Linked DNA regions of Cricetulus griseus. The main gene of each other region encodes a partner of the protein of the gene in region 3 in a complex. Links are inferred from orthologs where the notes say so. Each region holds a gene or a part of one and is shown on either strand. Other genes may lie near its edges.

Region 1 (3,693 bases), on a different chromosome or scaffold from region 3:
GTTCATCACCTTGCTCCATCTGAGGCCCTGCTGATGCAGCATGGGTCACGTTCATCACCTTGCTCCATCTGAGGCCCTGCTGATGCAGCATGGGTCACGTTCATCACCGTGCTCCTTCTGAGGCCCTGCTGATGCAGCATGGGTCACGTTCATCACCTTGCTCCTTCTGAGGCCCTGCTGATGCAGCATGGGTCACGTTCATCACCGTGCTCCTTCTGAGGCCCTGCTGATGCAGCATGGGTCACGTTCATCACCGTGCTCCATCTGAGGCCCTGCTGATGCAGCATGGGTCACGTTCATCACCGTGCTCCATCTGAGGCCCTGCTGATGCAGCATGGGTCACGTTCATCACCGTGCTCCCTCTGAGGCCCTGCTGATGCAGCATGGGTCACGTTCATCACCTTGCTCCATCTGAGGCCCTGCTGATGCAGCATGGGTCACGTTCATCACCTTGCTCCATCTGAGGCCCTGCTGATGCAGCATGGGTCACGTTCATCACCTTGCTCCTTCTGAGGCCCTGCTGATGCAGCATGGGTCACGTTCATCACCGTGCTCCTTCTGAGGCCCTGCTGATGCAGCATGGGTCATGTTCATCACCTTGCTCCATCCCATTTTACTTGAATCTCAGGACAGCTACAAAGAGATGAGCGATCACAGGGGCAAGACTCCCTAAGCCTTCTGAGTGAGAAATGATTGAAATGGGCCAGGAAAATAGAAGAAACTGATGGATCAAGATGCTGGGAGTGGGCTCAGCAAACAGATCCGAAAGACGGTATGTTCATACTTAGAAGTCCAAGTTTGGAGAAAAGATGAAAGTTCTAATTAACAGAAAACTGGAAGTGTATGGCTTGCTGGAGAGCTGGAAATAGACAAGATAAATCAAGTGGTCCACATACTAGTAGTTGAATTCTGTGGAAAAAGCCTGACCAAAAGGATCTACTAGGACAATATTTTTACCGAGGCAGGGAGGGTCCCATAGAGGCAATGGGAGACAAAGTCAGAAAGGGTTGTGTCTAGGTTAAAAATAAAGATTATCCAAGAAAGGATAAGTCGCCCAGCAGTGGTTGCACATGCCTTTAATCCAGCACTCGGGAGGAAGAGGTAGGTGGATTTCTGTGAGTTTGAGGTCAGCCTGGTTTACAAAGCTGGTTCCAGGACAGGCTCCAAAGCTACAGAGAAACCCTGTCTCGAACAACCAAAAAAAAAAAAAAAAAAAAAAAAGAAAAAAGAAAAAAGAAAAAAAAAGTCATGGAAAGGAATGTCAGAAAGGGCTCAATGGACACTGGGTTCTATAAACACTACAGACATAAGAGAAAAACACAAGGTTGGTTTTCCTTGTATTTGAAATTGGCCATTTTCACCACTGTATCCTCAGTACCAAGCATGTTGACTTTACATTCACATAAAAACTAAGCTCTGATCAAACCAATGACTGACTCGAGTAAGCACTAGCATCTAGCCTCTTCTCCCTTCATGTAGCAAAGTACTGTGTGACTCAACTCAGTTAAATCTTAGTTGGACAGTAGGATCAGGCAAATAAGTAAACACAGTTCAAACACAGGCTCAGCTACCCCTGCCGTGGCCCTCAGCAGCTGTGCCACTTTTTTCAAGGGCCATACAAGGCTTGCCATCTCCTTTATTGGCACAACCAGATTGCGTTCCACTAAGGTAGCAGAGGCAGGTGGATCTTTATGAGTTCGAGGCCAGCCTGGTCTACAGTATGAGTTCCAGGACAGCCAGGGCTACACAGAGAAACCTTGAAAAAATAAAAAACAAAAAAAATAAAAGAAAACCAACTGTCAATTACTAGGGCCAGCCTTCAGACCTATCTTTGTTCACAGGGAGAAGTCCTTCACTCAGAAGGACGCTTCTCTGATCCAGCCCTTCCCTGTTCTTTGGATCTGTACCATTCCCCAAACCCTCATCTGGCCCCATTATCTCAACTATCCTTTTCTCAAGGTATGTCTGCCACTGTCACCTTTTCCACAGAACCATGCTTCTTCAAGGGTCAGCAATTACTGTCTCCCCTTCTTCACCCTTCATGTCTCCAACTCTTTGTAGTCTGGCCTTTCTTCCAGTGCCCACTGAAACTGTCCTGGCTGTGGAGCCATGATCTCTGTGGCTACTAGAAGGATCTTTCCCAACCCTGACCTTCTTTGATTCTACAAATACTTTTCCATCTTATGAGGCCAACTCCTGGTTTAACTTTGGTCTCTGTCTATTATACCTTCCTTCTCAGCTTAGCCTTCTGCTTCTGGGAGTGTTCCTTCTTGTTTTATTCTTATATTTACAGGAAAGGCTGCTTTTCTACCACAATTTCAAACAGCAAGCCAAACCTGTAGCTCCCAAACATACATAAAATACATACATACACTTCTGAAACGTTAGCGGACCCGAATAGCAGGCCAAGGAGACAGACAGAAAGCAGATTTCTCTGGTACTCGGTGGTCTCACCAGAGTTAGGTTATTAGGAGTCTGCTGGAGACCCCACTGGGAATTTGCTGAGGAAACTCAGTACCTTAGAAGCCCGCAGATTCCCCAAGTGTATGTCTTCTTCACTTAACGCAGGGTGAGGGTAAGATTCCGGAGTGTGAGGCATGCTTAAAGGCCCAAAGGCGCAGGCTTATTCTCAAGAGATTAGCGCAGTCGCAGCACGACCTGGCTTCTAGAGGATCCCAGGTCCCAATTGTTTGGAACGCCCAGTTTTTGGTTGCCAGGCAACTACCCCTGCGTTTATGACAGAGATGAATTCCCTTCGAGAGATGCGCCACCTGGCGGTTCAACTCAGAAGGCTCCTTGGGAGGAGGCTGTTGTGAATACCGAGGAAAGGAGACCTAGATAGGCACTCTGGAGCCTCAGCTGGAAAACGCTGGCCTCCCATAGCACGGGAGTTCTGTAAAAGACGAAAGAAGTCCGTAGGGTGATCCACAGGTTTCCTTTTCCCCCTCACCTATTTCCCCATTTTCAAAACAATGAGAGTACGAGAATGTAAAAACAAAAAAACAAAAAACAAAAACAAAAAACCCCCGAAGATCTCACGTGTACTGATTGAAAAACTGTCGATTAGGTCACTCCCCTTGTTGTTTAACTATGCGGACGCCAGGGTTACTCATCAGCCCGGCTGTAAAAACATGGATGGATTTAGCCGGTGGAAGGATGGAAGTAGCTTTTGCAGTTAGTGCTGGGGCCACTCTAGGAGACGATCCCTGGAAGGTAGCGATAACGTCTGTCTTCCCTTTATCATTTCACATGCCACGTTTACAAAATAAGATGCTTAGAAATAACCCCTGGCTGAGAAGAGCAATAGGGGTGAAATGTACTGCTGCGGATGATTTGGAGGGTTCTTCTACCGAGTGCTTTACGTAAGCCTGTTGGGTTAGGTGCAAACCCTGGCGCGCGCACTCCTACGCCGCGCGCCAGCGGTGGCGGCTACCATGGAGACCAGCAGGTGAGCGGCAGAGGCGCGCGTGGTCCCTGCCCCACCCGCGCTGAGCGAAGAGGATGCGGTTGTCAAGGCGACGTGGATAGGAGGAGGAGAGGACCGAGGGAGGAGGAAGGATGGGCGGCCTTGGCGTAGCCGCAGGGAGGTGACTGAAGCGAGTCCAGCCCCTTGCATCCTCCCCCTGTGTACCTCCCTCCTCTTTTTTTTTCCTCCTTCTGCCAGCATAAGCAGCCACCGCAGCACCTGAGCCG
Region 2 (3,693 bases), on a different chromosome or scaffold from region 3:
AGGCGGACCGTGGGCCCAAAGAGGAGTTGTGCATTAGTCAGTAAACCACCCTTGAAGTAGCGGGTGTGAGCATACTCTCCGCAGTCCCGGGCTGTATTCTCAATCAAGTGACAGAACTGTCGGTTCCTGCTCACAAACAGGATGATGCCCTTGCGGTAGGCCACATGAGCCGTGAAGTTCAAGGCCAACTGTAGATTCAAGGCTGTCTGCTCCAGGTCGATGATATCTTGGCCCAGGCGGTTACCAAAGATGTATGGCTCCATAAACCTGCCAAAAAAAAAAAAACCAAGTAAAATGGAACAGTGTTCACAGAGCTACCCTTCCCTTTCCACAGACCCCTACCAGCAATTCGAATGAGGGCACTGCAGACTTCGAGGCACTTTTACTTCACCTGTTTCCCTCTACATCTTGTCTAGTGAATGGCAGGATGGGGGACACAGTGTTGTGGAGTTGAGCAGCTAGCACCAGGTGTGTGTCCCAACCTGTCCTTTCCCCCATGGAGATTTGAAGGCCAACTGCACATTAAACACGAACGCAGGCAAGGTACTCTTGTCTAGTATTGCTCTCAATGGCCTCTGGCCTCTTCAGTTCTATATAGCAGGACCTCTTTACTCGGGTGGCCAAAATTCAGGGGTCCCCAGCATGTAATGACCCTCAGTTTTCACTACGTTTATGAACAGCATCAGTACTAGCACTGCACTTGATGGTACTGTTAATGCTCCAATCAGCGCCACTTCCAACCTTGACCTGATCCCACCACTCTGCCCACACTGCCTGTGCCAGTTACCTATGTCGACAACCGGCTTTATGGCCCAGGTGTACTCGGGCCTCGAAGAGGCTCTTTACAGAAAACAGTTCCTTGACATTGAAGAAGTCCGAATGCTGCAGTGGCACATCTAGAATCCTGCTCTGGAGATCTGAAAAGGGAAGAAGAGAAGACACCGTGGCACACCACCACCAACCAAAGGCTCACGAGTCTCCTGGGAGTGGGGACCTCAAGGCTGAGGAGGAGAAATGCTGGGAAAGATCTGGAAGACAAGGGGCTATATGGTGCTGAAGGGCTAGAGCCAAAGTCTGAGGTGGACTCTCTGTGGGGAAAGCCTGTCACTTCTCTCCTCTTAGTCTCCATGGAGAAAGAGACCGGGGCCTCCTCAACTTCTGGCGCCTCAAATGGCCCGCAAGGAGACCGGCAAGGTGGATAGATTCCAAACTGGTCTTCACTGGTCTCGGGAGCTACTGGGACACGGTGGAGGGAGGGGGCATTCTCCCTCCCACCCCACTTAATGCGATTAGCACAGGGTTCATTCGGGGATCCCGCAATGACAACCCCTCCACGATTCTGCACCTCGGTCCTGCCCCAGCCGCTGGTCTTTACCGTCGCCATCCTGAGGCTCGCTGACCATGGGGACTTGGGCTCCCGTCACCATCCTACCATTCAGCCCCGCTGGGCCCGGGGTCGCCTTCTGCAGGAAACCTGGCCAGCGCCACACACCTGCGGGGAGAGAGCCGGTGAGGCCGCGCCCTGTCCACGTCCCTGCCCTCTTCTCTCGGATCCCAGGGTCCCTCCCGTCTCGGGGCGGGGGGTTCCAAGCTCACCTGCACACCGCAGCCGGGTGAGGACAGCCGGAGCGGGAGCCATGGCTGGCGCGTGGAAGGAGATGCCGCAGAGACGCTTCCTGCCGAGCAGAGCGCCTCCTCCGCCGAGTGCGTGAGGCCGCAGCGCCGCCTGCAGGTCCGGAGGACCGCTGCCGGCTCCCGCTGCGAGCGACCCTGTAGGAGGGATTCCGCCCGAGAGAATCTCTCTGCTGAGGCTGGCGATCAGTGCAGGGCTGGAAGGTGGGAGGGACTGAACCAGGACGAGAGGGTTCTCATCTACTGCTCGTTCCTCCCGGTAAAATTACAGCGTCCTCTCAGAACCGGTTAGAAGGAGGCGACCCTCTGGTTTAAAATGGCTTTTGTTTGTTTTTCTGAGACAGGGTTTCTCTGTGAAGCCTTGGCTATCCTGGAGCTCTCTGTAGACCAGGCTAGACCAGGCTGGGCTGGAATGGCTGGCCTTGAATGGCTGGTCCACCTCCCTCTGGCTCCCGAGTGCTTGCACCACCACGGCCTGTCTTATTGTTTGCTTTTTAATTGCTTTTTTTAAATTTGAAATTTGTTTTAGATGTATATATTTTGTGGATGAATATTTTGCCTACATGTGCACCCTATGAGTGCCCGGTGCCCGTGGAGATTGTAAGAAAGAGTTAAGGATGTTTGTGAGTCACCTTGTAGGTGCTGGGAGTTGAACCTAGGTTCCCAGTAAGAGCAATAAATGCCCGTAACCACTGAGCCATCTCACCAGCCCCCAAATTACTTTAAAGAATGAAGACAACACTAACCTAAGTTTTCCTGACTGGCCTGGCACTCACAGAGATCTGCCTGTCTCTGTCTCCAAGTGCTGGAATTATTGGTGTGCACCACCACACTATCCCCCGTGTGACTTTTATTGTTTGTTTTAAATTATTTATTATTTATTATTATTATTATTATTTATTATTATTGAGACAGGGTCTCATTATGTACCCTTGGCTGACCTAGAACTCTGTGTAGATCAGTCTGGCCTCTAACTCAAGATTTGCTTTCTGGCATTGCACTAGCAATGAACATGCACTGTTCACAAGATAATTTTTTTATATTTCAATAGTATTCGGCCTGGGAAGATTTCCTAAATTTAGCAACATCTCGGATCTAAACTTAGGCTGAATTGTGGGGAGCGAGGGGTAACAGAGGCTAAGGAGAAGTCCTGGCAAGAATAGTAAACTGCAGACCAGTGCGTGCTTGCTCAGGTAGAGATTGGAAGCATCTAATAATTCCTGTATGTTTTTTGTTAAGTCCCAGGTCCTAAGGTTTCATTTGCCCAGGATATTATCCCTACTGCCTTTTGGGATGATACCAGGATGTTCCCAACAGTTCCAGAAAAAGGCCAGCGTAAGTCCCAGAAAAAGGCCAGCGTAACTCCCAGAGGGGCTGCTGTCAGAAAGCTTGGGATTCCTTAGCGCGACAGTCCTAGCTTAGAATTCCTCACTGTTCCCTTTGTTATTCGCCCTCTGAAAGATTCTAGACTTGCCTATAGCTCCAGTGGCAAGCAACCTACAAAGGACCGCCCCTCCTTCCGGCCAGGCGACATAGTTGCCTAGTAACAAGACGCCCTGATGCGGCAGCCGCAGCTTTGACTACTAGTCTGAGGCTACTTTCCTGTGGAGGTCAAATGTCGGAAGAAAACCCCCAAGAGTGCACGGAGCTGGTGGAGCCCAAGGCTAAGCCTGCCCCAGAGAAGACGAGCGATTACTACTCCGTGAGCGAGCAGCTCCCAGTCAGGTTCAACAACCCGGGGTGGTTTCGTGGCTACAGGTGAGGAAAACTGAGGTTACCTCTTCCAGGAGGTGCCCTCGGTGGCCCTAGCTTGTGTGTGAAAACTCCAAATTGCCTGGCTGCTGAGGTTAAAAGAAGCCAGAGGCGGACCCTGTACCTTGTGTCATCATTACTACCAGGGTCTTGGACCTGCTGTCTGAGTAACCGTGAAAGTGAGTGCGTGTGCTCGTGAGCTTGTGTGTGTGTGTGTGTGTGTGTGTGTGTGTGTTCGCTTTTGAGGCTTCCCTTGTAAATGATGGAAGCCTTCTTGGCTTCTGTGAGCCATGTGCAGGCACACTCCCA
Region 3 (3,693 bases):
TGAATAGCAGTGGTGTGAGGAGCTACTGTTCCCACAGTTAGAAGCCCAACTGCAGAAGGGGCTATTTACAGAATTTAGGGAACTACGTAAAATGAACTGCAGACGGGCTGACATTGCACAGTTGTCTGGGATGAAAGCAACATTACAAAATGGTTTCCTTTTATATTATATAACTCTTCTCTGTTTTTAAAAATTTGGTATCTCAGTCATGTTTTACTTGATATCACCCCTCCCCAAAGAAGAGCAATGCAGAAATATAAGCCCACGCAAAGAAAGAGCTAGTTTTAAAACTCAATTCTTTCTCCTTATAGTTTCGGAACCCTGTATTGGAAAGGATAGCTCATTTCTACAGATAAAATAGCACAGGCTCGGGGGAGGGGAGTGGGTGTGGAGGGGTGGTAGGGAGTGCTGTCCGTAAACAAAGCTAGCTCTATGGTGAACTATAAATTCTGTTTTGTATATTATTTCTCTTTAGTTCGTTCTCTTTTGCTTTTTTGTGACATGATCACACACTATAATCCACGCTGGCCTCAAACCAGCTGTAATCCTCCAGCCTCAGCTCCTCCAAGGTTGGGATTTACGTGCCAGTTAGGGTGACCTTGAACTGCAGATCTTCCTGCCTCTGAACCCCAGCTGCAGTTTAGATTACGATGCTGGCCTATTCTTAGTGGGCTTCTGAATCTTGTTCAAACAACAGTAACAATAACTGTAAACATCGGCATTTACCCAAGCCGTTTGGACCATCATTTCTATCTCTGCTGGTTTTTTAAAAGCAATTAAAGACTTTGGATCCTGAGGGAATATGGTCAAATTTAGTGTACTGTGTATGAAATGCTGGAATTTTCTATTAAAAAAAAAAAACCATAAAGTCTGTGATTAAGTGTAGGGGAAAACCTTGGATTATTTTAACTATAGTTTAAGGTTTAAGTCATGTATAATCACCCAGCCCCGATTTTCTTTCTTCCCTTCCCTCCCCTCCCCTCCCCTCCCCAGCCCCACCCCATAATGGATGCTCCGCTAGTTGCATTTGCTCAGCCTTTGTCTGAGGATGCAAAGTCTACGGATGCTAGGGGGAAGGGGTGGGGGAGAGATTACCTCATACCATGTCGCTTGCACCAATCACCACTCTCCTGTCGCGGCTTCTCTGGGCAGACGGAGGGGTCTGGACCAACAGGAAAAGGCCGTGGCCCATCCCCATGGTGACCGAGCTGTATATAAGGAGCCGCATCCGCCCATGTGCCGCAGGTTCTCTTACATCGACCGCCTAAGAGTCGCGCTGTAAGAAGCAACACCTCCTCCTCGCCTCCGCCAACCTCCGGGCAGCCGCAAAGCAGCAACCATGGTGAGCCAGCCTTCTTCCCTGGTCCTCCGTAACTGGGTGGAATCAGTCTCCCGAGATCTTCAAGGGAAAGCCTAAGTCTTTGTCACCCCTGCGGGGAAGGGTGGTCTCAATGCTTTGTTAAGTTGAGCTTTGCGCGGAGTCCGTAAATCCCGCAGCCGCAGTGCGGGGCAGGGAAACGCCCAGACCCGGGGAAGAACAAAGGCTCCTGCGAGTGTTTGCTCGCACAGCCTGGGCCGTCAGGGCGGGGGTTCACGGCTAGAGGGGTGCGCTGCGGCGGGCGAGCAGGGCGGCGGCCGAGCCCTCACTCCAGAAACGCCGCCCCACTTCTATGGGAAAATGGTTAGTTTGCGTCGGATCCATGGCAGCCGGTGTCAGGGAGGCGCAGGGGCGGGGTTGTTTGTCTCTTGCTTCCGTGGCGTTTTGGGAGGGGTTCGCCCTCTCTAAACTTCCCTCGGGAGTGGTTTTTGTATTTTTATTTTTAAAAAATTGCTGTGGAACTGTAATCTTACAAGAGGTTTTGTTTGCTTGAGTGTCAAAAGTACGATTTACTTAACACCAGGACATCTCGCTGGGGAGAGAGGGGCTGGATAGTTGGTGAGGTTGCCTCGACTACCCTGATTGTCAGAACCCAGGGAAACGCCCTTCCCCACCCCCCACCCCCGCAGACAATGAAAGTTGTAGCTTTAAAGACAATAGAAAACTATCTCTATAGAATAAATAATACTAATATATTATGTGGTATGTAAAGATTCATCGAATAAAATACCATTTTCTAGTTTTAAATGTTATCTTTTTACTCGGTTTTTATTGTTGGCCCTTGTTTCTAACTTAGCTTTAAGAATATTTTGCTTCTATATAGTGGAAAAGATTCTGGAAAATCTTCATTATCTAATGAAACTGCTGCAAGGAAAAAAATTATACTCCGTATCCAACTGTCTTTTGTTCTAATACATCTTCACTAATTCATTATTTCAGGCAAATGGCCCAGACAGGGTTAAGAGGGTTAGGAAACTGAAAGCAGCGAGGGGATCGTATAGACAGCTGCTGGAAATAGAGCTTTCTCTGTTAAATAATGTAACAAAGGGCACAGGCTAGCACCAGGCACAGCAGACACAGCAATGCAGAAGTCACACTTTGTCTAGTGCTGATGAGTTCTGCAGAAGGGTGTGGCTCCTGCCCGCAGCCGCAGTACTGATGTCCATGTTGAAATACCAGATCACAAAAGATGAAGCATTCATCTTTACTTATCAGGAAAAGAAGCAATTAAAATAATTCCAGACAATTATTTCACTTTACAGTATCAGTGTATTAAGTATTTTTCGAACATGAAAACTCTTCTATTTAAGTATGGCTGTGAGAACAATGGGTTTGCACCAAGTCTTAGTATTAAGGTGACATTATTCAGACCACACCCCTTTGCAGTATTTGTATCAGGTACTCATTATTGTTTCTGTCATATGAGGGATATGACTCCAAATAAATTTCAACAATATTTGTGTTATTAGAAACACTTTAGAAATCTATTAAAATCTAAAATAGAAATACAGCTTAATTTCATAATTTTTCCCCCTTTTCCACAGCGTGAGTGCATCTCCATCCACGTTGGCCAGGCTGGTGTCCAGATCGGCAATGCCTGCTGGGAGCTCTACTGCCTGGAACATGGCATCCAGCCTGACGGCCAGATGCCAAGTGACAAGACCATCGGGGGAGGAGATGACTCCTTCAACACCTTCTTCAGTGAGACAGGCGCTGGCAAGCATGTGCCCCGGGCCGTGTTCGTAGACCTGGAACCCACAGTCATCGGTAAGTGGGCCAGGGGTTTCCCTGAGGCATTCTGTCCTGGTCACATACTCAGAACCTCTCCACACACCGCCGAAGAGTGAGTGAGCTTGTGTGTGTCAGTTACTGTTGTGAATGGTTGATTTCATCTCCTTTTCCAGATGAAGTTCGCACTGGTACCTACCGCCAGCTCTTCCACCCTGAGCAGCTCATCACAGGCAAGGAAGATGCTGCCAATAACTATGCCCGTGGCCACTACACCATCGGCAAGGAGATCATTGATCTTGTCTTGGACAGAATTCGCAAGCTGGTAAATACCATAGATGGATGGGTTCATTTAAAATGCAGTGTGGGGGAGTGTTGGGACCTGCCAAAATAAGTAAAGTCTGTTCACTACATTAATTAAGTAGACTTGTACATGTGGTCTATGGGTCATGAGATCATTTTTAATACCAATTCACAATTTTTTCCTTTCAAGTAAATGTGGTTTGCCATCTTGAGGAATTGCAAGCAGTGCTGAGAGTATGCCCTGTTGATAAACAATGCCTGTTCTTTTTTTCCTACAGGCTGAC

What was found. Proteins that work in one complex are often made in the same cells at the same time.
Region 1: the proteins of Tuba1a (region 3) and CUNH1orf194 are in contact, whole or in part, in a cryo-EM structure (PDB 7UNG), measured with the Homo sapiens proteins. The link is inferred for Cricetulus griseus from reciprocal best matches to the Homo sapiens genes TUBA1A and CFAP276. Residues at the interface, in NP_001257328.1 of Homo sapiens: Lys112, Glu113, Ile115, Asp116, Leu117, Leu119, Asp120, Arg123, Lys124, Asp127, Arg156, Ser158, Val159, Asp160, Gly162, Lys163, Leu195, Glu196, His197, Ser198, Asp199, Tyr262, Pro263, Arg264, Trp346, Lys430, Asp431, Glu434, Val435, Val437; in NP_001231954.1 of Homo sapiens: Pro43, Trp44, Arg46, Leu47, Asn48, Thr50, Pro51, Thr52, Ile53, Thr54, Ser55, Arg57, Arg58, Ala60, Tyr62, Asp64, Ile67, Pro68, Lys69, Asp70, Asp71, Phe74, Arg75, Lys90, Ser91, Leu94, Leu95, Asn96, Lys98, Thr99.
Region 2: the proteins of Tuba1a (region 3) and CUNH9orf116 are in contact, whole or in part, in a cryo-EM structure (PDB 7UNG), measured with the Homo sapiens proteins. The link is inferred for Cricetulus griseus from reciprocal best matches to the Homo sapiens genes TUBA1A and PIERCE1. Residues at the interface, in NP_001257328.1 of Homo sapiens: Met1, Arg2, Gln15, Asn18, Ala19, Glu22, Cys25, Leu26, Glu27, His28, Gly29, Ile30, Gln31, Pro32, Asp33, Met36, Pro37, Asp39, Lys40, Asp46, Asp47, Ser48, Asn50, Glu77, Gly81, Thr82, Tyr83, Tyr224, Thr225, Asn228; in NP_001041730.1 of Homo sapiens: Tyr28, Pro35, Gly36, Arg37, Phe38, Trp43, Phe44, Arg45, Gly46, Tyr47, Arg48, Thr58, Ser59, Asn60, Gln61, Ala62, Tyr63, Gly64, Arg66, His71, Glu72, Pro74, Phe77, Tyr78, Pro79, Asn80, Ser81, Asn82, Lys83.

What each region holds. Positions count from the first base shown.
Region 1 is NW_023276806.1:48,577,792-48,581,484, forward strand, and holds the start of CUNH1orf194 (protein C1orf194 homolog), read right to left. Parts: upstream 2,698-3,693; 5' UTR 2,600-2,697; coding exon 2,519-2,599; intron 1-2,518. UniProt on the Homo sapiens protein: Microtubule inner protein (MIP) part of the dynein-decorated doublet microtubules (DMTs) in cilia axoneme, which is required for motile cilia beating. May play an important role for the maintenance of myelin-axon integrity.
Region 2 is NC_048599.1:140,160,014-140,163,706, reverse strand, and holds the start of CUNH9orf116 (UPF0691 protein C9orf116 homolog), read left to right. Parts: upstream 1-1,492; 5' UTR 1,493-1,509; intron 1,510-1,595; exon of another isoform or gene 1,596-1,596; coding exon of another isoform or gene 1,597-1,639; exon of another isoform or gene 1,640-1,891; intron 1,892-2,871; 5' UTR 2,872-2,967; intron 2,968-3,093; 5' UTR 3,094-3,247; coding exon 3,248-3,390; intron 3,391-3,693. Other genes in the region: Mrps2 (28S ribosomal protein S2, mitochondrial), read right to left, coding at 1-267, 788-917, 1,346-1,492, 1,597-1,639. UniProt on the Homo sapiens protein: Microtubule inner protein involved in the attachment of outer dynein arms (ODAs) to dynein-decorated doublet microtubules (DMTs) in cilia axoneme, which is required for motile cilia beating.
Region 3 is NC_048595.1:395,418,269-395,421,961, reverse strand, and holds the start of Tuba1a (tubulin alpha-1A chain), read left to right. Parts: upstream 1-1,242; 5' UTR 1,243-1,339; coding exon 1,340-1,342; intron 1,343-2,627; exon of another isoform or gene 2,628-2,922; coding exon 2,923-3,145; exon of another isoform or gene 3,146-3,282; coding exon 3,283-3,431; exon of another isoform or gene 3,432-3,488; intron 3,489-3,687; coding exon 3,688-3,693. UniProt on the Homo sapiens protein: Tubulin is the major constituent of microtubules, a cylinder consisting of laterally associated linear protofilaments composed of alpha- and beta-tubulin heterodimers.